Linked DNA regions of Arabidopsis thaliana. The protein of the gene in region 2 purifies or fractionates together with the protein of the main gene of each other region. This does not show direct contact. Each region holds a gene or a part of one and is shown on either strand. Other genes may lie near its edges.

Region 1 (8,319 bases), on a different chromosome or scaffold from region 2:
TTCTTCTTCTTCGCTTCCTTCCTTTGAAATTGAATTCAGATATTTTTTTTAAAATTTTTTGAGAGGAAGAAATGGAGATTTCGCAGAGAGTGAAAGCTAGATTAGCCGTTCTCACCGCGCATTTGGCGGTGTCTGATACCGTCGGATTGGAACAGGTGTTGCCGGCGATCGCGCCATGGTGTACATCGGCTCACATTACCGCTGCACCTCATGGATCACTCAAAGGAAACTTGACGATCGTCGATGAGCGTACGGGGAAGAAATATCAGGTCCCTGTCTCAGAGCATGGTACCGTTAAAGCCGTTGATCTCAAGAAGGTATGTAACGGATTTGTAATCCTGAACAGAATTGTGGAATCGAGTTAGTTTTATCTGAATTTTGATTCGTCTCACCTAATTTTCCCTGAATATGATAAGGAATTTGATGGATTTGCATGTTTGGTGTGCAGATAACGACGGGGAAGGATGATAAGGGGCTGAAGTTGTACGATCCTGGTTACTTGAACACGGCTCCGGTTCGATCTTCGATTTGTTACATCGACGGAGATGAAGGAATCTTACGTTATCGGGGATACCCAATTGAAGAGTTGGCTGAGAGCAGTACTTTTATTGAGGTTGCTTATCTCCTCAGTAAGTCTTTATCAATCTCGTTGCTTATTCTTGTTGTTGTTGTTGCTTATTTTACTTTTGTGGCGTCTACTTGTGGAAAAGAAAATGTCTTGAAAATTGTGTCTCTCTTAGTGTCGTGTTAAAATTCCCCTTTTTTTGTCTCCAGTGTATGGAAATCTGCCTTCTCAAAGTCAGCTAGCTGATTGGGAGTTCACTGTTTCTCAGCATTCAGCTGTGCCACAAGGAGTATTGGTGAAATTTCTACTCTTTCGTTATTTGGATTTTCATACTAGTGCAAATTCCAAACTTTGTATCAGAATGCAAATCCAAACCAAAGAGGGATTTTGAAAATGATTTCTTGTCAAGTGTACAAGTTGTTTGTCTTGCTTGTAAACCATGTCTATTAAGGATACTGGATCTCTTTCTAGTATTAGTACCTTATGTCTTACTCGCCGTTGTGAATATAGTTATGTGTATATGCTTAGTAAAAGAATTTTCTATGGATTTTTGATCTGAGACGATTTCTGAATGTTTTTGCAGGATATCATACAGTCCATGCCTCATGATGCACACCCAATGGGAGTTCTTGTGAGTGCCATGAGTGCACTTTCTATCTTTCACCCTGATGCAAATCCTGCTCTTAGTGTAAGTTTTGAAATCCTGTTCTTTTCGTACTGTCAAGATGCCTTTTTCTGAAAATGGCTATGCCAACTCGATTTTCTTTCATTGGGTGCAGGGCCAAGACATTTACAAGTCAAAACAAGTTCGTGATAAACAGATTGTTCGCATTCTCGGAAAGGTATTGTTCTATCTGTTGATGATTTGTTTCCTTAACGTATCTGTGTATAAGTTGCGGGACTAGAAAAAGGGTTTACAACGTGTTTGCAGGCACCAACAATTGCAGCAGCTGCTTATTTGAGGACGGCAGGCAGGCCTCCTGTTCTTCCTTCGGCCAACCTTTCTTATTCAGAGAATTTCCTCTATATGCTGGATTCAATGTACTTTCCCCTCTTTCTTCTGTCTTTATTTGATTTAACACTTGCATTTTAAAAGGGTAGTCAGAAAAACTGTGTTTCTTTAGTCAGTTTAAATCTGTTTCAAGCTTCAAACGTGTCTGTAACACAGGATACATTCTTTAATCTTCAATTGATTACAGGGGCAATAGGTCTTACAAGCCTAATCCTCGTTTGGCTCGAGTGCTGGACATCCTCTTCATACTGCATGCTGAACATGAAATGAACTGCTCTACTGCTGCTGCTCGGCATCTTGCCTCTAGGTACTTATCAGTTATCACTGATTAGAGATATTCATTTAGACTTCTTTGAGTGTTTAAATCAGTATTGTGTTTCTGCAGTGGTGTTGATGTGTACACCGCATGTGCTGGAGCTGTTGGGGCGCTTTATGGTCCACTTCATGGTGGCGCGAACGAGGCCGTGCTTAAGATGTTAGCAGAGATTGGGACTGCTGAAAATATTCCAGATTTCATTGAAGGCGTGAAGAACAGGTAACTCAATGCTTAATAACTACAAGCACCAAGTACTCTGAATTGTGGTGAGTCATGCCGGTAATGTTATATCCCTTTTCTATGTTCTCAGAAAGAGGAAGATGTCAGGTTTTGGACATCGTGTTTACAAAAACTATGACCCCCGAGCAAAAGTTATAAAAAAACTGGCAGATGAAGTGTTCTCCATTGTTGGTAGGGATCCTCTCATCGAGGTACTGTAGATCCTTGTGCTCACGTATCTCTCCTAGTATTTGGTTGTCAAAAAAATTCTTATATAACATGACTGTGGGTTAAATTTTGTTTTGACGGATGATGTTTTCAGGTAGCAGTTGCTCTAGAGAAGGCGGCACTGTCTGATGAATATTTTGTTAAGAGAAAGCTGTACCCAAATGTTGATTTCTACTCTGGATTAATCTATAGGTAAGACATTGCTGATTCATCTGACATAGACCCTGTAACCATTAAGTTCTTTACCTGAACCTTGTGTTGGTAATTGAAATGGGGGAAAAACACAGGGCAATGGGATTCCCACCAGAATTCTTCACAGTCCTGTTCGCAGTCCCGCGTATGGCTGGATACTTGTCACACTGGCGTGAGTCGTTAGATGATCCTGACACTAGGATCATGAGACCCCAACAGGTAAAATACATAACTTGTTTGATAGATCAAAAGGTTTATAGTTTGAGCTAACTGAATTGTGTGGCTGCATATAGGCCTATACTGGAGTGTGGATGAGGCATTACGAGCCAGTGAGAGAACGAACGTTATCAAGTGATTCGGATAAGGATAAGTTTGGTCAAGTTTCCATTTCGAATGCATCAAGAAGGCGTTTAGCTGGATCATCTGCCCTTTAGTCTCAATCCTAATACTCACCAATAAAGAAGAAAACATTGGGATACCTCTGGGAAAACAAGAGAGTCTTCTCAACAACATGTGTTGTTTTCTTTCTCTTATTCTTAAACACTTAATAATACAACCCTATTCTTATTGTTTGTCTGTTATTTTAAAATGTTATGATTTAATAATAATAATCTTGTTATAGGGAACGACATGTACTTTTGATAAATTGCGCTTTTATTCCTGTTAATGTTAATTTCTGAAGACATGTCTAACACATTGGTTTGGAAAATGTCAACCACCAAATCATATCATTTAGGATTAACTGAATGTTATTTTTAGGGTGAATATGTTATGCAGATTCCAAGTGATAACAATAAGCTAACCACTCATTGAACATCATATCATATTTTTTTGTACGGTATTTATAATTTGCCTGAAAGTTTCCTATCATTTTGCATTATTGCCAATAATATTTCCATTTCAAATGAGAACAATTGTGAGAAGTGTGAACAAATATAAAAGAAAAGTGACGTTAAATAACAAACCCTGGAGTACCTGACACTGATTAACAGAAAGAAGTAAGAAGCAACCAAAACAATACATAACTGTCGCAGAGACACATACTTAAAATTGGTTAAAAGCCACAAAACTCTGATTGAAGACAAAGAAGACACTGTAGATTCACGCCAATCATACCCACAAAAGTATTAAGACAAAAGTGTTACGTAATGAAATTATCAAATTTCCCCACTATAAAACCATGCATGCCTATATATCACTTTGAACTACAACAGCCACTTGGTTTCTTATTCGCTTCCCTTTCTTGAATTGTGATCTTTTTGAGGTGACAAATGGAGATTTCGGAGAGAGCTAGAGCTCGATTAGCCGTTCTCAATGCGCACTTGACAGTATCTGAGCCGAATCAGGTGTTGCCAGCGATCGAACCATGGTGCACATCGGCTCACATAACCGCTGCACCGCATGGATCGCTTAAAGGAAATTTGAAGATCGTCGATGAGCGTACGGGGAATGAATATCAGGTCCCAGTCTCAGAGCATGGTACCGTTAAAACCGTTGATCTCAAGAAGGTATATATAATGAGTTTTTATGCTGAAGTTATTTCTTCATTGTGGCCATTAGTACTACGAATAGATTGTTTTTTGTATATTGTGTGAGTGTGTATAAATGGATTTTCATGTTTGGTGTGAAGATAACGACAGGGAAGGATGACAAGGGGCTTAACTTATACGATCCTGGTTACTTAAACACGGCTCCTGTTCGATCTTCGATTTCTTACATCGATGGAGATGAGGGAATCCTACGTTATCGGGGATACCCAGTTGAGGAGTTGGCTGAGAAAAGTACTTATACAGAGGTTACTTATCTCCTAAGTAAGTCTTGATCATCTTGTATAGCTCATTGTTGTTGCTTAATTATGATCATCTTGATCATCTTGTATAGCTCATAGTCTTGCTTTTGTGTGGGTATTTCTTTAAAATTTTGTCTCCCTTAGTGCTCTAGTTTACTACTGCTTTTTTTGTTTTTGCATGCAGTTTATGGGAATCTGCCTTCTCAAAGACAGCTAGCTGATTGGGAGTTTGCGATTTCTCAGAATTCAGCTGTGCCACAAGGAGTATTGGTGAGTTTCTTCTACTCTTTCCTAACTTTCTCTAGATCTTCGAGGTGAGATGATTTATCTGAATGTTTTCACAGGATATGATACAGTCCATGCCTAATGATGTACATCCAGTAGGAGCTCTTGTCACTGCAATGAGTGCACTTTCCATCTTTTATCCTGATGCAAATCCGTCTCTTATGGTAAGTTACGTTTTTATAATCCTGCTTTCTTCTGAAAATTTCCACGCCGACATGGAAATCCCCATTTGGTGCAGGGCCTAGGTGTTTACAAGTCAAAACAAGTTCGTGATAAACAGATTGTTCGTGTTCTTGGACAGGTATTGTTCTGTCTGTGTGATTTGGTGCCTCAATGTATAACCGGACTATGAATTATAATATAACGTGTCTGCAGGCCCCAACAATTGCAGCAGCTGCTTATTTGAGGAAGGCAGGCAAGCCTCCTGTTCAACCTTTGAGCAACCTTTCTTATTCAGAGAATTTCCTCTATATGGTGGAATCAATGTACGTTATTGTCCCTCTTTGTTTGATTTGGAGATGGTAGCCATAAAACTGTGCACTTGTTTAGTCTCATCTTCCATTGATTACAGGGGAGATAGGTCTTACAAGCCTAATCCTCGTTTGGCTCGAGTGCTGGACATCCTCTTCATACTGCAAGCTGAACATGAAATGAACTGCTCTACTGCTGCTGCTAGGCACCTTTCCTCTAGGTACTACTTATCATTGGTTAGAGATTCATTTGAGTCTGCTATGAGATACTTTTTAATCAGCACATAAATCCTCTGTTTATGTAGTGGTGGTGATGTGTATACTGCTGTTTCGGGAGGTGTTGGAGCCATTTATGGTCCCCTTCATGGTGGTGCAGTTGAGGCTACGATTAACATGTTATCAGAGATTGGGACTGTTGAAAATATTCCAGAGTTCATTGAAAGCGTGAAGAATAAGTAACTCAATTCTTAGAGAGTATACCTAGAATGTGATGGTCAATATTCCATTAATGTTAACTCTTTTTATTCCAGGAAGAGGAGGTTGTCGGGTTTTGGACACCGCATTTACAAAAACTACGATCCCAGAGGAAAAGTCGTTAAGAAACTGGCGGATGAAGTGTTCTCCATTCTTGGAAGGGATCCTCTGGTTGAGGTACTCTGTATTCTTGTTGCTCACGTTTCCTTGTTGAATCCTTCATATGTATGATGAATTTGGTTTAAGAAAATATTTGGTGTATAAATAATGTTTTCAGGTAGGAGATGCTCTAGAGAAGGCGGCACTTTCTGATGAATATTTTGTTAAGAGAAAGCTGTACCCAAATGTTGATTTCTACTCTGGATTAATCAATAGGTAAGACATTGATTAGTTATCTAACAAATTCTGACTAATGAGTTGTTGTAACCATTGAGTTCTTTCTTTATTTGAATCTTTTTTGTTGGTAACTGAAATGGGCCAAAACACAGGGCAATGGGAATCCCATCATCATTCACCGCAGTATCACGTATCGCTGGATACTTGTCACACTGGCGTGAGTCTTTAGATGATCCTGACACAAAGATCATGAGACCCCAACAGGTAAAATACACCTTTAATATATAAGTGACTTTGTTTAGATAACATTGGCTCATGGCTAATAAAGACACTTTTTGATAGATCAATGAGTAATTAAGTTTTCTTTTTTGCTCATGAGATTATACATTATGCATAGATACATACACTCTTGGATATATTAATGACTTGAACCTTCTTCTTTTTTTGGCTCATGAGTAATACAATTTTTAATGGATATATGCAGTTTTTGAATAGATCAAAAGTTTTTTTTGGCACAGGTCTATACTGGAGCGGGGATAAGGCATTACGAGACAGTGAGAGAAAGAACCAAGCTGTGATTCGGATTTGGATCAGTTGGGTCAAGTTTCCATTTCGAATGCATCAAGAAGGCGTTAGCTGGGTCAAGTCTCGTTCCTATACTACTAATATGAAATTTGACTCGGAAAGCCAAGCGAATATACAAATATATATAAAGAATATATATGCTTATATAAAATATAGTTTGGGTAAACCCCATCCGACCTCGAGTTAGTAATACATGTGTGTGTGTCTATGTATGTATAAGTTGTCAAAATAAAATAAAAATATTTGTGTATTATAGCATGTTTTTAAGAATATGATGTTGAACAATAATCATAAAGTGATAAAAACAGTTCAAATCTAAATTAAATATAACCGAAACAGTAAGAAGATAGTAGACAACAAATCAAGATGAGATTGGTAATTGAACATATATGCAGCAATAATGACGAAAACCAAAAGGGTCTTCTCAACAATGTGTGTTGTTTTCTTTCTCCTTATAGTTAAAACACTCAATAATCTACATACTATTGAATTTGTTTTTCATTTGTTTGTCTGTTATTTTAAAATTTATGATTTAAAACATATCTTAAGTATAGTGGTTCTATAATCAATTCCATCTAATAATTAAGTTGGTATAGGAAATTAAGACATAACTTTTGATAGATATTGTGCCTTTTGTGAGGAAAGTTCTAAAAGAAGATCTTCTTATTCTTCTTTAGTTAATATAACACATTGCTTTAGTTCTAAGATTTTTTATATATCACACATTGATTCGGAATAATTAGTTAACCACCAAATCATATCCTTTTAAAAAAATGTCATACAATATAGTGTTGAATGAGAGATTATTTTCTCCTCAACCATTTGGAAACTCTATACAACAAGATTTCATCCCTGAAACTTGGAAATGAAAAAATGTATTTGGCCGAGTTTTGTTTTTGTCCTAAGCACTAAATAAGAACGTGAGATATATAGTTCACCGCGTCTAAAGACGAAAGTGATGGGTCTCAGATTTAGGACACGAAAGTAGGCCCCACCATACGTGATGAGCTGTATACGTATTTATTTTATTTGTAAAAAATAAGCCCTTTATATTTACGGTTAATTACACAATTAGCCCATTTCTTTCTTCTCCACGATCACAGCGACGAGGTCGAATACGATCTTCTTACCCCTGTCGACAGTTCTGAATTAATATCAATTTTCATTGTCTTCCTATCTCTCTTTCTCTCTTTGGCTTCTTCCAATCTAATTTCAGTGATTTACTTGTTAAGAATTCACCTTTTGAGAGGCCCAGGTATGTCAATCCCAAATCTCACTCTTTTCTTCTCTTAGTTTGGTTTGAAACAATTGAATCTGGTGGGAAATTTAGGCGTGTATCCATATAACCTGACTGCTCAATTCTGAGTCCAATTGATTAGGTGTGTTCTGTGATCTAGATTTCATCTTCTGGGAAACGATCTATCCTAAAGTCGTAGACTTTGATTCAATTAGAAAATTCGTAGACTTTGATTCAATCTGGGAACAAAAAATGGATAATCTGATGAATCTCTGTATGGATCGTTCGAGATAATGATTGGGTGCTTGGTTCATTAGCCTAAGATTTTCCTAGTGAAACTTAAGAATCTTTGCGTGTTTGTTCAATTATAATTAGTAAACCAGAATTTACGAGATTTCCATGTTGATCTCTTTCCTCAATGATGCAAGTATTGTTTCGCATCATCGAAAAATCATCTTCTGTTGTTGGCTTCTGTCAATAGAGTAAGTCTGTTTGTGTCCTTGTTTAATCCCATCTCTTTCATTTGCTGTAGTTTTGAAATATGGCTGGCCAAAACGCGCGTTTGAATGTGGTTCCCACTGTTACTATGCTCGGGGTTATGAAAGCTCGTC
Region 2 (6,331 bases):
TCGTTCTTCATACGACGCTGCAAGAAAAAGAAAAAAGCAAGAGGATCATGTATTTGAGATTTCAATATTTGCATATGTACATTTTACAGTGAGATTTCGAAGAAGACTTACGCTCAGTTGGTCGAGATAACAGGGGAACGTGTTCTGCCCTTTTCTTCTTTTTTTCTACGCCATTGCATGAGCTTTCCTCTGTTGAAACTGAAATTTTATTTTGAGTTGATTCTCTCTTTCATAGAAGTCATCTTACTACTATTTAGTATTTACAGTAAAGGGTAAAGGAAATACTGATGTATCGTACCATTGTTGCTTAGAGGTAAACAGTTTCGGAGAGCCTCCTGATAAATTACAGACTCTAATTGGTATGTCAATGATTCATTCTTGAAATGAGACCGCAGTGACTCTGCAGCACCTTTAGGCATGAAAAAGGGGTTTGTTATTATCATATCTACTCAATCTAAAACCACTTCCAAGATATCTGAATCAGACTTTGTTACCTGGAGAACATATGAAGTCAACATTTTCGAATTCACATGTACGGAGGACTAAGGGTATCTCTGAGGCCAATAGGTATTGAGGTTTTCTTGGCGTTTTCTTTGTGTCCAACAATGTATCTATCACCTGGGTAAATGCCAGTTCATCCCTAAATCAACACTTGATGAATATATAAACCTCCCAAGTAAGGATTGGATTGAGCTTGGAAACTGGAACAAACATGAAGGTTTCCAAGTGACTTACATCAACTGATTCAACGCCCTGCCCAATCATGAATAGCACGGCGACCATACAGCGGATCTGGTGCCACAGGAAAGCACTGCCTCTCATTGTAAATGTGCAAAGCTGATCACCCTCATGACTTCACAAGAAGGAAAAACAAGAAGATCAGATGTTTTAGAACCAAAAGACAAAATAATAAAAGATAATTGATCAGAAGAATGTGTGTATATAAAGTAGTGACTGGTGTGAGTTTAACAATGGGTGCCATTGTGCTCAATAGGATGCGCAATTTCTATTGTTCCTAGAACATGATTTTGTCTACCCTTAATTTTTTACAATTGTATTAGTCATAACCCTATATTACTAGTGGTCTACCATTAGAACCTGAACAATCCTACGGTTTTAAGCAAGAATCTTAGTTGACCTAAGCCTTTATAGGATCCAAAATCAGTTCAAAGAATACTAATGTAGTCAGCGGTCATCAAAAGAGGATCAGAAGATCAGCTTAAATGTGCCTTTTACCAAAGCCAACCTATTTTGACAAGGGGAGACTTCAAAGAAAGTAACACGCCGTGTATAGCAATGTACATTTGCCACATCCATCTTGCAGAAGTTTCTGAAATCATGCTCCCCAATGAACTTCTTCCCGGCAAAGTCCATGGCCTAGAGGAAGATGCGAATAAAAATTAACTTCTATATTGTTTCAATTGTGGAGTATTTTGACTTTATTAACAAGTGTAAAGATCACTGCACCGAAAGATTCAGGTTCTGCCTCCAGAAAAAATATTTGTATTCTCTAGCATAGCAACTAAACCTGTACCCAAGGAAACAAAAAAAAGGTAAGCATCCAGTATCCAATACTAGTTCACAACGTATTCTGCAGTCAGGGCGGAATAGCACAAACAACAACGAAGGATTACAAAAAAAAACGGGAAAACACAAACCTTGCATGAAAGTCGATAGGAGCAGGAGACCATCCAATAACTCGGATGTCATCAGGGAGAGCACGATTTAGAACTCTTACATAATCATATTCTGGTCCTAAACCAGAGAAATCAGAGAGTTACAGCAACAACATTAAGAGGGTGAAAACCACCAAAATGAATTACATTCCCAGAGTAAACTTACTTTCACCCGTTCTCCCATTCACTTGGGCTTTAGAGTCTCCAGGAGGTGACTTCAGTCTGGATCTTAAAAACAAAGCAATCACCTGCATCAACAATCGAATAGACATAAGAGATCGCTTCTTCCACGAGCCTACCTTATAGACATTTGGGAATGCTCCCATTACAGGGTTTTGGAAAAACATCAGCACAATGAGAAATTGGTTCTTAAACTGATGAGATCATATGAGTAGTTATATCATTGGCACACAACCAGTGAGATCGAAAGAAACTATTGCGAGTAAAATGCTAGAGATCAAGAGAGGCCCAAGCAAGCCACCTGCCCTGTGGAGGAAACACCTTTATCTGTTCTCCCACATCTCGAGTAACAAGAATCTTTCTTGTCCCCAACTAAAAGCCGTGTCCTTTCAAGTGCTTTAAAAACTTCTGACTGCAGGAAACACACAAATTACTCATCATGTAAATACAAATTAGTTATTACTAGTTAACAAACAAAACAAAGAGAACAAAAACACACCTCAATACTTGGTTCCATTTGTGCTTCAGCCGAAAATCCATAAAATCTGTAACAACAAAAATTCATTCATTCATACGATTAGGAACAATGACATAACATGAAGAAGAGAAGCAATCCAAAAAACATACCTCTTACCAAAATACATGATTTTGAGTGCAACATATCTCTTTGAGATAAGATGACTCGGTATACTATTCTTATCTCCTTTTCTAACTCTCCTTCTCCTAACTAAGCTACTGGAATCTGACAATGACCGATCATGCTTCACTTCCATCTACAACAAAAACACCGAGATTCTTGACAATTTCAAACGAAACAATGTGAAGTCAATCAAAAGTTAAGTATATCTTCACCTGTTGGCATTGGCAGCTTGAAACCTGAGACAACAATTTAGCATTTTCCACTTCTAACTCCTGATGAGAGATATAGAACAAACAATGAAACAATCAACAACTTCACTATCTAACGTTTCTACAGGAGAATTAACCGAAGATTCAACATAGTTTCAAACTCAACCTTTAAGCAATGTGTAATCGAATCGTTCCACTAACAAAATGCTTAACAACGAAGGGCACAAACATTGAGCGAAGAGACTACAGAGACGTTGAAGAAGCTAAGAAGATGACAAGTCGTACGGAGATTTTTACCTTGACGCGATTACGGAGAAACACTAGTTCTGTTTCTTTGGCGATTTCAGAGTCTCGGTCATCGCCGCCGGGATCGGATTTTGCGTCGGAGATAGTCATGAATCAGCCTCGAATTTTAAGATGGATACACGAATGACGGCGACGAAACGAGATTCGACGCCGGTGAAAAGAGCCAACGAGACGGCGACGAAACGAGATTCGACGCCGGTTGAAAAGAGTTCAACGACGGGGACAAAACGCGGCGTCGAAGAGAAACTGTGTTGGGATTAGTCAAGAGTCTACATATGTTTCTCTATTTACATATTAGTCACTATAGTTATTCATATTTCTCTGAAAACCCTCTTATGTTATTGTTTTTTTTTTCTTAAAGATAATAATGTTTTTGACGATCTATTTATTAATTTCTGAATTGAATAAAATACAAAACAAGTTTACGATTATACTTTGTAGTTAAAATTAATGTTTAACCAAATAAGTTGACGATCTACATATGTTTCAAATTTATATTTATGATCTAACGGTACGAATCTGTTGCCAAGTGTGAGCAGTACCAGCTCATATATTTCATGTGCCCTAAGACAAATTTTGAAAAGAAAATATTTTATTCTCTTTTTGTATGTATAATTTTTTTTGTGTGTCTCTTTTATATATACAAAAAGAAAACAATTTGTGCTCTTTTTATACAGAAAAAAAACAATTTCTCATATATAGAATGATCGCATTATTCATCGTTGTACTTAAACCGGCACTCACTGTGAGAGGAGGTTAACTTTTCTTATTTCTTTAAGCTTATCGAAATAGTTAAAGCTTATCTTTAATTTTTTTATTTGATATTAGAAATTATTAATATTATCTTAGTAGAAAAATAAAAAGCTAATCCTAGTAAGGAATTGACTTTTTTTTTTTCTTTTTTTTAATATATATGACTTTAGAACCAGATATATACTTAAAAAAAATTATCAGAGAACAAAGACGTGTTTCAACTATAAGAACCTCAGAGAACAAATTTGAGAAGCATACATTATATATAGGAGATCTTGATTCGAGTGTCGAAGAGGGTGACTTATACACCAAATTCAGTGAGTTCACTCATGATATTTCTTCAGTGAAAGTTTGTTGCGACCGAAACACTGGCTTGTCTCTTGGTTATGGATATGTTAATTTCAACCATAGTTCTCAAGGTAAGTCGTAATATTCTATATGTTCGTCTATATTAATTGTTTCATCATGTTGCTTGTTTCTAGGGTTTAGTCGTTACGTTGAGGAAATAGTTTACTTTCAATGATTGTTCCCTAATCTAAAACACTTTTTAGTTTTTTTTTGTTAGTATTATTTAGGCACACGTGTATTTGTTTCGATTTAAATTATGTCGATTTTTCTTTAACGAATTTGAATGTTAATTGGTTTGATTTATTTATTTTTTCGTGGGGAAAAACAGCGAAGACTGCAATGGAGGTGCTGAATTATTGTAAGTTAAAGGGAAAACCTATGAGGATAATGTTTTCAGAACGTGATCCTAGCAACAGAATGAGTGGACGAGGTAACGTGTTTGTCAAGAATCTAGACGAATCTATCGACAACAAGCAACTTTGCGATATGTTCTCTGCATTTGGCAAAGTTCTCTCTTGCAAAGTGGCTCGTGATGCTTCTGGAGTTTCCAAAGGATATGGGTTCGTCCAGTTTTACTCAGACCTTTCAGTCTACACCGCATGCAATTTTCACAATGGCACGCTCATCCGCAATCAACATATTCATGTTTGTCCATTCGTTAGCCGTGGTCAATGGGATAAATCTCGGGTTTTCACTAATGTTTATGTTAAAAACTTGGTGGAGACTGCGACGGATGCTGATTTGAAGAGGCTCTTTGGGGAGTTTGGGGAGATAACTAGCGCGGTGGTGATGAAAGATGGAGAAGGTAAGTCTAGAAGGTTCGGGTTTGTGAACTTCGAGAAGGCTGAGGCCGCGGTTACTGCGATAGAGAAGATGAACGGGGTAGTAGTTGATGAAAAGGAGTTGCATGTTGGAAGAGCTCAGAGGAAAACTAATAGAACTGAGGATTTGAAAGCTAAATTTGAACTAGAAAAGATAATACGGGATATGAAAACACGTAAAGGGATGAATCTTTATGTGAAGAATCTTGATGATTCTGTTGATAACACAAAGCTTGAAGAATTATTCTCAGAGTTTGGGACCATCACTTCTTGCAAGTACGCATGCAATAGCAAAAGATTGATTTGTGACTACGACGAATAATAAATTTAACTAATGAATTTTGAAGGTCATGGTCCATTCCAATGGTATTAGCAAAGGTGTTGGGTTTGTTGAGTTCTCAACGAGCGAAGAAGCTTCGAAAGCGGTAAGTTTGTAAACCAAGTAATGGTCTTTTAGTGTTGCCTTCTTAATCAAGGAACTCACACTAATTAATTTTTTATCCTTACACAGATGCTCAAGATGAATGGGAAAATGGTGGGAAATAAACCTATCTATGTTTCTTTGGCACAATGCAAAGAGCAACATAAGCTTCATTTACAAACTCAATTTAATAACCCACCACCAAGTCCTCACCAACAACCTATCTTCAGTCAAGTGGTCGCTCCGGCAACAATGTTATCTCAACAAACTCCATTAAGAGGATACAACTTCCAACCATATTCTATGTGCGGATCAAGAATGCCAAACAGTTGCCCTCCAATCTCTATCCCTAATTTCATGGTGCCACAACCATTTCGTCCAACACTATATCCACCTGCTCCGCTTGTCGGCCTCTACGGTAGTTTGCCACAGCCACTACTGCAACCAAATCTATGGAACCCATACCGTAGATTTTAGTAGCTTTTAGGAATTAACATTATGCTTCCAAAAGCGAACTGGTTGGATTGATAGTCTTCTTTTATTAAGTTAAGTCATGTTAGGTTTTCATTTACGATATTCTCGTTGGTTTGAATACGGTTTATGTTTCTTGTGTCTCTACTTTTCAACATTCATGTTTACTTTGAGCTTGATCAAACCAAGATTAAATTACAGAACTTGTTTTAAAAGTAGACGAAAAAACCAATGCAAATAGGTTTCAACTTAAGTGATGGAAAAACTACAAAAAATGTCTCTGCATCAAAATAAAACCATATCCAAGAAAATCCGAAATTGTGGTTCCTCCTCAAAACTATCAACTATCTAAAACCATTTTGGTAACATTGAAGCATCACAACCTATTTGTAGGAGGTTTAACTCTGTAAATACGAACTATCCAGTTGGATGTTGTGTAAGCTTCTTCTAAGTGTTCAAGTTTGATATCTTTGTTCCCTATCTCCACTCCTCTTGCTCTATCATAC
Region 3 (8,263 bases), on a different chromosome or scaffold from region 2:
ATCGTAAGTTATGCTTTTTCGTTGTTTTTGTTCTGCTAGGACACAGATCTTAGTCCAATCACCGATAAGTTTTGGAAGGGATTCTATAAGAAGCACTATGGAGAAGAGGACATGAAGGATCTTATAGAGGACCTGGAGTGGAATAAAGTAAATGATTTCAAATGGAGGAACTTATATGAGGTTGGTTTTTTTTTCAAGTCTTGATACATATTTAAGTGTTGAAATATTTAAGATATACATGCACATGGTTTCGTGCAGTTGAAGGTTATAGCTGTGCAACAAAAGGAGAAGGAACTTGGTGGTCGACTGAAAGAACGTTACAAGGACGAAAATGAAAGTATAACTTTTTACGAATCTGTCTTTTGTTATGGCCGTTAGCTCAATGATGAGAAGCATGTTCTTTGACCAAAATATTTTCTTCTTTCGTTCCCTTGTAATCGTTTTCAGTTTCCTTTTGTCAGGGAAACAAAGTCGACAAACTAAGGTCTGCTCGAAAGCTCCTCCAAGCAAAAGACCATTTTGGGGTAACACATTTTTTTAATCTAAATGATTTCTTGCAGCATCTGGTCAGATCTTGCCAAAAAACAGTATGCAAATGCTCCATGCATATATTAGTTTTTTTTCCCTCTGGCTTTTGTAATCTAATGGTTATATGGACGATTTTGTTGCAGGTAATAGTGCATCAGGTTACAATCTTGGGCATGTGAAGAGCAACATCATGAAGAAGGCAAAAATAGATCTGTTGAAGAGGTACACTTCAAAGTTGCACAATCACCAGTCTTACTTATAAGGTTTATAGCAACAATCTATTTCTTAATTCAAATCTTCTGATGGTTTTGATTACAGTCAAGAAGTGAAAAATCTTACTGCGATTAAAAGGAACACCATTCAGAAGAGTTTCAGGTATCATCTCCCCAGCATCTATTTAGCTATATCAACCCACATTCGTTATCCCCCAAACCTGATCGGTTTGATTGATCATGTCTTGTCTAGTATTTCTACTCCAAAGAAAACTGGCTTATCTGCGAATTCGCCTTCAACTTCAAGAAGCATTCCTTATGGTGGACGAAATCTTACTGAAACTAAAAAGAACACGATTCAGAAGAGTTTCAGGTAACATGTCCTCAGTATCTATATATCTATATGGATCCACTTCTTTATCCCCCAAACTTGATCGGTTTGACGGATCATGTCTTGTATAGTATATCTGCTCCAAAGAGGACTGGCTTATCCGCTAATGCGCCTTCAACTTCAAGAAGCGTTCCTTCTGGTGGACAAAAGCTACCTCCAAGGAGGATCAACGGCCTTCCTGGGACTGCTCCTTCAACTTCAAAAAATGCAGCCACCAGACAAAAACATGTAATGTAACTTATATAGCTTTTTTACAGATCATTTTTTCTTCGAGTGTATCATTTACATGGCTACTTCAAGTTTCAAGAACTCCGAGTTTTGAAACTCTGGCTTGATGATATCCTAGTTTGTAACAATAGATCTTCAAAAGTTTTTACAATGATTTAATAAAGTGCTTTGTTTTCTACTTGTTGCTTTGGCCGAGATATTTCACAACAAACGTCTCTGCAGAAGCATTCGATATAGAAATTAGAGTAATAATCCATAACCATAAATCATTTTATACAATAAACACGTTCTGATAAGAAGACAAACAAGGCGGACAAACACCCTTAGAAGATGGATTGAAGCAAATATAGATCAAGTCTATATTGTGCCTACAAAATGAGAAATCTAAGTTTCGAGTATGATCAAGTATCTTAGCTTTAGGCTAGAGAAACCAATCTCTTTTATTCTTTGCGGTGTGGTTTGATGTATAGTATGGACCCTAAAAGGGCCTACGTCTAAACTGAAGATCCAGCCAAACGTCTTCTTGATGCATTTGAAGTCGCGACTTGACCCAATTTGTCTGACTCTTTCGAGTCATCCGTCACTATTCTCTCTCTCACTGGTGTGTAATGCCTCAGCCACACGCCTGTGTACACCTGCAACATTTAATATTCCAATGAACCATCCAAGTTTCAAATTGATCCAAAGAAAAATCTTTCTCTTATTATTCTTGGAAAGAGATTAACTATACCTGTTGTGGTCTCATGATCTTGGTGTCAGGATCATCCAGTGACTCTTTCCAATGTGACAAGTATCCAGCCATGCGAGGAATCGCGAATAAGACCGTGAAGAACTCCGGTGGAAATCCCATTGCCCTGTTGTAATGGTCCAAGTTTGCAGATTTAGATGAAGTTGAGAGGAAGTTATGGATACTGCACATGCATTCAAACTTTTACCTGTATATTAATCCAGAGTAGAAGTCAACATTTGGATACAGCTTTCTCTTAACAAAGTAATCGTCAGAGAGAGCTGCCTTCTCAAGTGCAACAGCAACCTGCAGACATCAGAATCAAACACATTGGCTTTAAGGAAACATGAAAAATTACACTAAATCGAAAAGGTGGGCATCAAGTTGTAGTATAAGCTTGAACTTCGTGGACATAGCGTACCTCAATTAGAGGATCCTTTCCAACAATGGAAAATACTTCATCAGCCAGGTTCTTGATGACTTTAGCTCGAGGGTCATAGTTTTTGTACACACGGTGTCCAAAACCAGACATCTTCCTCTTCCTAAGATGTCAAAGGGATGAGAATTTTAATGAAAAGACTTGTCACAAACCTCGGAAACGGAAGCATATAGTTTCAAGAATTGATTTTACCTGTTCTTCACACCCTCAATGAACTCTGGAATATTTTCAACAGTCCCAATCTCTGACAACATCTTAAGCACAGCCTAATGGAACCAAAGACATGAATTTCAAAGACCATGGAGCATGAAAATACATCAGAAGATGTAACATATGAAGACATGAGAATAAATAGCATACCTCGTTTGCACCACCATGAAGTGGACCATAAAGCGCTCCCACAGCTCCAGCAACAGCAGTGTAGACATCAACACCGCTACAAGAAGACATTTCCTAATCAATATATCTCCTATCAAGGTCACTAAGATTCCAACCAAAGATAAGTACCTAGAGGCAAGATGCCGAGCAGCAGCGGTGGAGCAGTTCATTTCATGCTCTGCATGCAGTATGAAGAGGATGTCCAACACCCGAGCCAGCCGAGGATTAGGTTTGTAGGATCTATTTCCCCTGTAAGAAGTGTGTTAATGGCACGCTACAAGTTATGTACACAGTAAAAAAATAACTAGGCTTCAAGTTCTCTGAAGCGTCAAGATCTAAAACTAAATCTAAAAGTTGAGTTTCTAACTAATTCAAGAAGAAAGAGATAGCAGAGACATACAGGGAATCAAGCATATAGAGGAAATTATCTGCATAAGGAAGGTTTCCTGAAGGAAGAACAGGAGGCCTTCCTGCCATCCTCAGATAAGCAGCTGCTGCAATTGTTGGTGCCTGCACAAATCGCAAACACGTTTAGTTGCATCAGATCTTCATGAAATTCAGAGTCCAAATATGTTTATGCGTGACACAATATAGGAAGAAGTAAGGTAACCACTGATAACAAAAAAATACCTTTCCAATAATGCGGATAATTTGTTTATCTCTAACTTGTTTTGAATCGTAAATATCCTGGCCCTGCACCCAATAGAGTATCAGTCAACATGTTTATACGGACAATTTCAAAAGAGCTAAAACTAGCGAGTGACAAGGCCTGACATGTTGTTAGAGAAGTAATATAAGGTTAAACCTACCCTAAGAGCAGGATTAGCATCAGGATGAAAGATGGAAAGCGCACTCATTGCACTCACAAGAACTCCCATTGGGTGTGCATCATGAGGCATAGACTGTATAATATCCTGCACAAAAGTTATCAAGTAAGTGGAGTTAGATATGAGAAATATATAGCTTTGAGTACAGCACACAATCCTCAGAACAACATGTATAGAACAGTCTTGACAAATTATTGTTCGACCAGACAAGAAAATAGGCTACTAGTAAAGAACAGGCTAACTCCATTTTACAAATCGAAATTGAAATCCATCAACCAAGGATTAGAGACTCACTAATACACCTTGTGGCACAGCTGAATGCTGAGAAACTGCAAACTCCCAATCAGATAGCTGACTTTCAGAGGGCAGATTCCCATACACTGCCAGAAAATATAGTAAAGGAGAAAACTTTTCATCAATGTCCAATTCGATACACATAACACTTGAAATTGTGTAGTAAGGTTAAAAGGTAAAACACTTACTGAGAAGATAAGCCACCTCCAGAAAAGTACTGTTCTCAGCCATTTCCTCAATTGGGTAGCCACGGTAACGAAGGATCCCTTCATCTCCATCGATGTAAGAAATCGAAGATCGAACAGGAGCCGTGTTCAAGTAACCTGGATCGTATAACTTAAGCCCCTTGTCTTCCTTCCCCGTCACTATCTGCAAGCCAAACAACACGCAACAAAGCAAATTCTCAGCTCAAAATCCCACAGTGATAGGAAAATGGTCATTTAGAAAAAGGGTTAAACCTTTTTGAAATCAACGGCTTTAACGGTACCATCATCTGAGACCGGAACTTTATAATTTTTTCCGGTGCGTTCGTCGACGATCGTCAGTGTTCCCTTCAAAGATCCAAGCGGTGCGACACTCGTATCCGCCGACGTGCACCATCGCTCGATCGCTGGAGAATCCTGTTTTCCTTCCGATAAATGACCTGAGAGAACAGCTAATCGAGCTCGAACTCTCTCTGATATCTCCATTCAACCAAAATCAAAATTCAAAGAAGGAGAGAAGAAGAAGAAAGGGAGCGAAGAAATTATTAGAAACCATTCTTACTCTTCGTTAATATAACACGTGTCTTATCCCCTGCGGTCAGGAGTATTGAACAGTATCCACGTGTATGCGATCTAACGGATATCTTGATATCCAACGGCGTAAGCCTTATTGACCCAACTTGGACTAACGGTGATGATCTTCTCCATCTCTAAGCTGTCAGAATTATGTGGGACCCACTTATCAGTATTATCTAGTTAGTCAATTGCTTTCCTCGATTTGCTAAATATCAATTCGATTGCTACGCAATGCTGAATGGGCCGAATTGTCTTAATATGGGCTTCTGTATATTCATCTTTAGGCCCAACAGTATACCACTTTTTATTTGGGCCTTTTTTGTTGATACGGCTCGCTTTACCATCGGAACCAACCCAACATTCATTTTTCGAACTATGACTGAAATCTTATTAAAAAAATGAATGTAAAGCTAAATATGGATGTTGCGTTCAAAATAAAACTCATGAGTTTATGGATGTTCTTCATAAATTATAGTTATCATTAATCAAAAGATGGAAAATACAAACGGTTATTTACTCTTTAATGTTAGTGTACGAGGCTATTAATCTTATAAGTTGTATTTATGTATTATATTATGGAGAATGAATAGGTCTAATTACGTTTTAAAAAAAAAGCATGGAGGAAATGAGAGTGAAAGGTATAATAAATGACATGTTAAAAGCGACGGGTCGTATATTTTGATTCGTACCTAAAAATAGAATTCTAAGTTTACCCCACGTGAGGCTCTGAATCTGAGAGTGATAGATTTTTCTTTCCCTCCTTCCGTTTTCAACACATGATGACATGAACAAGGAACTGTTCCTTTTTTTTTTCTTTAAACATTATCTGCAACGGTGATCACTCACTCAATGATATCTTTCATTTATAACTTCACACGTCTATAAATTAAATTTGTTCATAGGATCTACAATAACACAATTAACATCACTTGTGTTTTTAAGTTATTCAAGCAGAGGCATAGTAATTGATAAAAATAGACAACAAGAAAGCATTTGAAACAAAATTACTGTTGTAAACAAAGCTTTTTCACGGTAATGGAATTCCGAAATAAAAATATATAAAAAAGAAAGTGACAGAGGAAATGTGTGAGAGAGGCAAAGGAAATGCAATATTTGCAGGAAGAAAAAAAGCATGAGAAAAAAGTAGGTGTGGATTTAGACACATGACTGACAAATTATATTTTTCTAGTTTCTCCTCTATATGGTGGTTTCTGCGTTTATCATGTTTAAATATATTTAAACCTTTCATTAGTCACATCACATCCCAAAAATGTGTACGATAATAAAAAGATTGTTTATATACCAAAATTAATTGGTTTACTCAATCATCTTTTTAATTTTGGTCATTTGATACGATCAATCATAGGGTGTCCTAACGTTAAGTTCGATGACGCTGCTACCTCTTTTGAGCGTACCATTCAGGGTCCTACTCGGCTACTCCTACATAATGAATTTAGCAAATAGCAGTTTAAAAACAAATTACGTTAGTTGATTAAGATAAATAAATTAGCTTAACACAAATTTGAAATGGTTAGTTGAAACTCAATTAACATTAATTTTTCTAGGTCTTCAATTTAGTTGCATGGTTAGACTTGAATCAGGTTGTGTCGTTTTATCAGACTCACTGCAAACTCTTTGTCCAAACTGCTCCCTTATTTTTGTTTATTACACTCTATGTATGTAAATTTTATAACAGATTTACTAGAAATTTAATTCTTACCCAATAGAAAACAAAAACGTCGTTTCATTTCATTTGTTATTTTCTCTTTTGTATACAAACACATATTTATACACACGGCTATGAAGTTGTTCAGGACCATTATGGATGACTCGAAATAATTTTATTAACAATCATATAAAAATCTGAAAATACTAGTATTATTATTAAACTAAAAAAAAAACACAACATTAACGTACATTGCTTTAATAGGAAACTAATACACATCAAAATCGACTCTATTAATTTATTTCCCTAGAAATCATCGGTCTACTTTGGGAACAAACACAATTCTTCTCTCTTTTTTAGGGATTTGATAAATATTTAATTCTCTGTCTGTTTTGTCTTTATCTCACTCTTAGAGAACCCATCGTTGATGTAAACCTAGAAACAGAGCAAACGGAAACAGAGCATTGGCGAAGAAGCAAGATCTGTAATACCGAGAAGCTTGAGATTTCTTCTTCGATGAATGCACCGATAAACCTCCACCACTACTAACGTTCTTCCCGCATACATCAACCCCGGTCTTGACAACACTAAACTCATCCTCCGGATTCAGACACAATCCTCTGTTCCCGCTCAAATCCAAGTTCTTACCCAACCGTCTTAAGAAACTTGAATCAAACGGAACAACGCCGATCAGTAAGTTCCTGCTGAGATTCAGATGGAAAACGTGTGGCAGAGACTCAAACCCTGATGGGATTTCGCCGGTTAATCTGTTGTTAGCAAGAGACAACGAGCTAAGGTTCGTCAATTTGGTGTAACTCTCCGGGATTACGCCGGAATATCCAGAATTCTCGAGCTGGAGCTCTTGAAGTTTAGGAAGAAACCCTAATTCAACGGGGAGAGCAACGAACATTGGGTTATTATCCATTATGAAGTACTGCAAACTCTGAAGGTTCGAGATTCCTTTTGGAAAAGCTCCCTTTAGTTTGTTGTTGCTCAACGCCATGAAAGACAACGAACGAAGCTTTTCTACACCTTCCGGGATTCTTCCGAAGAGAGAATTTGAGCTCAAGTCGAGTTTCTGAAGCATACCCAGTTGAGAGATCGTTGGAGGGATTGTACCGGTTAAAGAATTGTAGCTTAAATCTAAGCCAACGAGGTTATTTAGATTCCCTAATTGCAGAGGGATTTTACCTGTGAGCTTGTTGTAGCTGAGATCGAGGTGTACGAGGCTTTTCAATGAGAAAATCGCCGGAGGGATATCTCCGGTTAATCGGTTTTGTGAGAGAGTGAGGATTTGTAAAGATTTGAGAGAAGAAATGCGAGGAGGGATTTGACCTGAGAGAGAAGGGTTTGATCTGAGGCTAAGTTGTTGAAGAGAAGAGTTAGGGATGAGTTTTATAGGGAACATGATTGTGGTTGGGAAGTGAGTGAAGCAGTTGAAGAAGAAGACTGATTGGAGAAAAGGGAGAGTGAAGATTGAAGAAGGGAAAGAAGCAGAGGATTTACAAGAGGGGTTTGGAGCAGAGCCGAAATCGAGTCGAGAGACGTGTGATAAGTGGTCTGGACCGGTTTTGCACTCAATGCCTGGCCAAGATGAGCCAGGTGCACAAGGGTTTGGGTGGGATTGACGCCATTGTTGATCAGAAGACATTGATTCCATGATCTTGAAGAGAGTTTCTGACTCAGATGGAGGCATTGAGGCAGAGACTCTGTTTTCTTGGCAGAGGAAGAGTGGTGTTATCAGGAGAAAGAAGAAGAGCAGTGAGGAAGGAGATGGTAAAGCTCTCTTCATCG

What was found.
Region 1: the proteins of PAB1 (region 2) and CSY1 fractionate together in Arabidopsis thaliana (co-fractionation; one large-scale study listed by BioGRID). This does not show direct contact.
Region 3: the proteins of PAB1 (region 2) and CSY3 fractionate together in Arabidopsis thaliana (co-fractionation; one large-scale study listed by BioGRID). This does not show direct contact.

The regions. Positions count from the first base shown.
Region 1 is NC_003074.8:21,719,211-21,727,529, reverse strand, and holds CSY1 (citrate synthase 1), read left to right. Parts: upstream 1-3,739; 5' UTR 3,740-3,803; coding exon 3,804-4,040; intron 4,041-4,162; coding exon 4,163-4,343; intron 4,344-4,505; coding exon 4,506-4,591; intron 4,592-4,665; coding exon 4,666-4,770; intron 4,771-4,844; coding exon 4,845-4,907; intron 4,908-4,981; coding exon 4,982-5,091; intron 5,092-5,177; coding exon 5,178-5,297; intron 5,298-5,381; coding exon 5,382-5,531; intron 5,532-5,606; coding exon 5,607-5,727; intron 5,728-5,827; coding exon 5,828-5,925; intron 5,926-6,038; coding exon 6,039-6,150; intron 6,151-6,404; coding exon 6,405-6,464; 3' UTR 6,465-6,757; downstream 6,758-8,319. Other genes in the region: CSY2 (citrate synthase 2), read left to right, coding at 72-317, 449-629, 775-860, 1,149-1,253, 1,345-1,407, 1,497-1,606, 1,765-1,884, 1,963-2,112 and 4 more; AT3G58730 (vacuolar ATP synthase subunit D (VATD) / V-ATPase D subunit / vacuolar proton pump D subunit (VATPD)), read left to right, coding at 8,250-8,319.
Region 2 is NC_003070.9:12,432,856-12,439,186, reverse strand, and holds PAB1 (poly(A) binding protein 1), read left to right. Parts: upstream 1-4,451; coding exon 4,452-5,210; intron 5,211-5,280; coding exon 5,281-5,358; intron 5,359-5,444; coding exon 5,445-5,831; downstream 5,832-6,331. Other genes in the region: AT1G34150 (Pseudouridine synthase family protein), read right to left, coding at 1-17, 112-198, 299-409, 495-618, 736-853, 1,247-1,377, 1,468-1,528, 1,659-1,755 and 6 more; STT3B (staurosporin and temperature sensitive 3-like b), read right to left, coding at 6,202-6,331.
Region 3 is NC_003071.7:17,801,279-17,809,541, forward strand, and holds CSY3 (citrate synthase 3), read right to left. Parts: upstream 4,796-8,263; 5' UTR 4,714-4,795; coding exon 4,483-4,713; intron 4,394-4,482; coding exon 4,213-4,393; intron 4,111-4,212; coding exon 4,025-4,110; intron 3,818-4,024; coding exon 3,713-3,817; intron 3,597-3,712; coding exon 3,534-3,596; intron 3,414-3,533; coding exon 3,304-3,413; exon of another isoform or gene 3,153-3,303; coding exon 3,033-3,152; intron 2,962-3,032; coding exon 2,886-2,961; intron 2,792-2,885; coding exon 2,718-2,791; intron 2,629-2,717; coding exon 2,508-2,628; intron 2,393-2,507; coding exon 2,295-2,392; intron 2,214-2,294; coding exon 2,090-2,213; intron 1,995-2,089; coding exon 1,854-1,994; 3' UTR 1,563-1,853; downstream 1-1,562. Other genes in the region: AT2G42780 (transcription elongation factor B polypeptide), read left to right, coding at 40-180, 259-337, 462-524, 672-750, 847-903, 994-1,113, 1,203-1,368; RLP29 (receptor like protein 29), read right to left, coding at 6,879-8,263. UniProt on the Arabidopsis thaliana protein: Peroxisomal citrate synthase required for the fatty acid respiration in seedlings, citrate being exported from peroxisomes into mitochondria during respiration of triacylglycerol (TAG).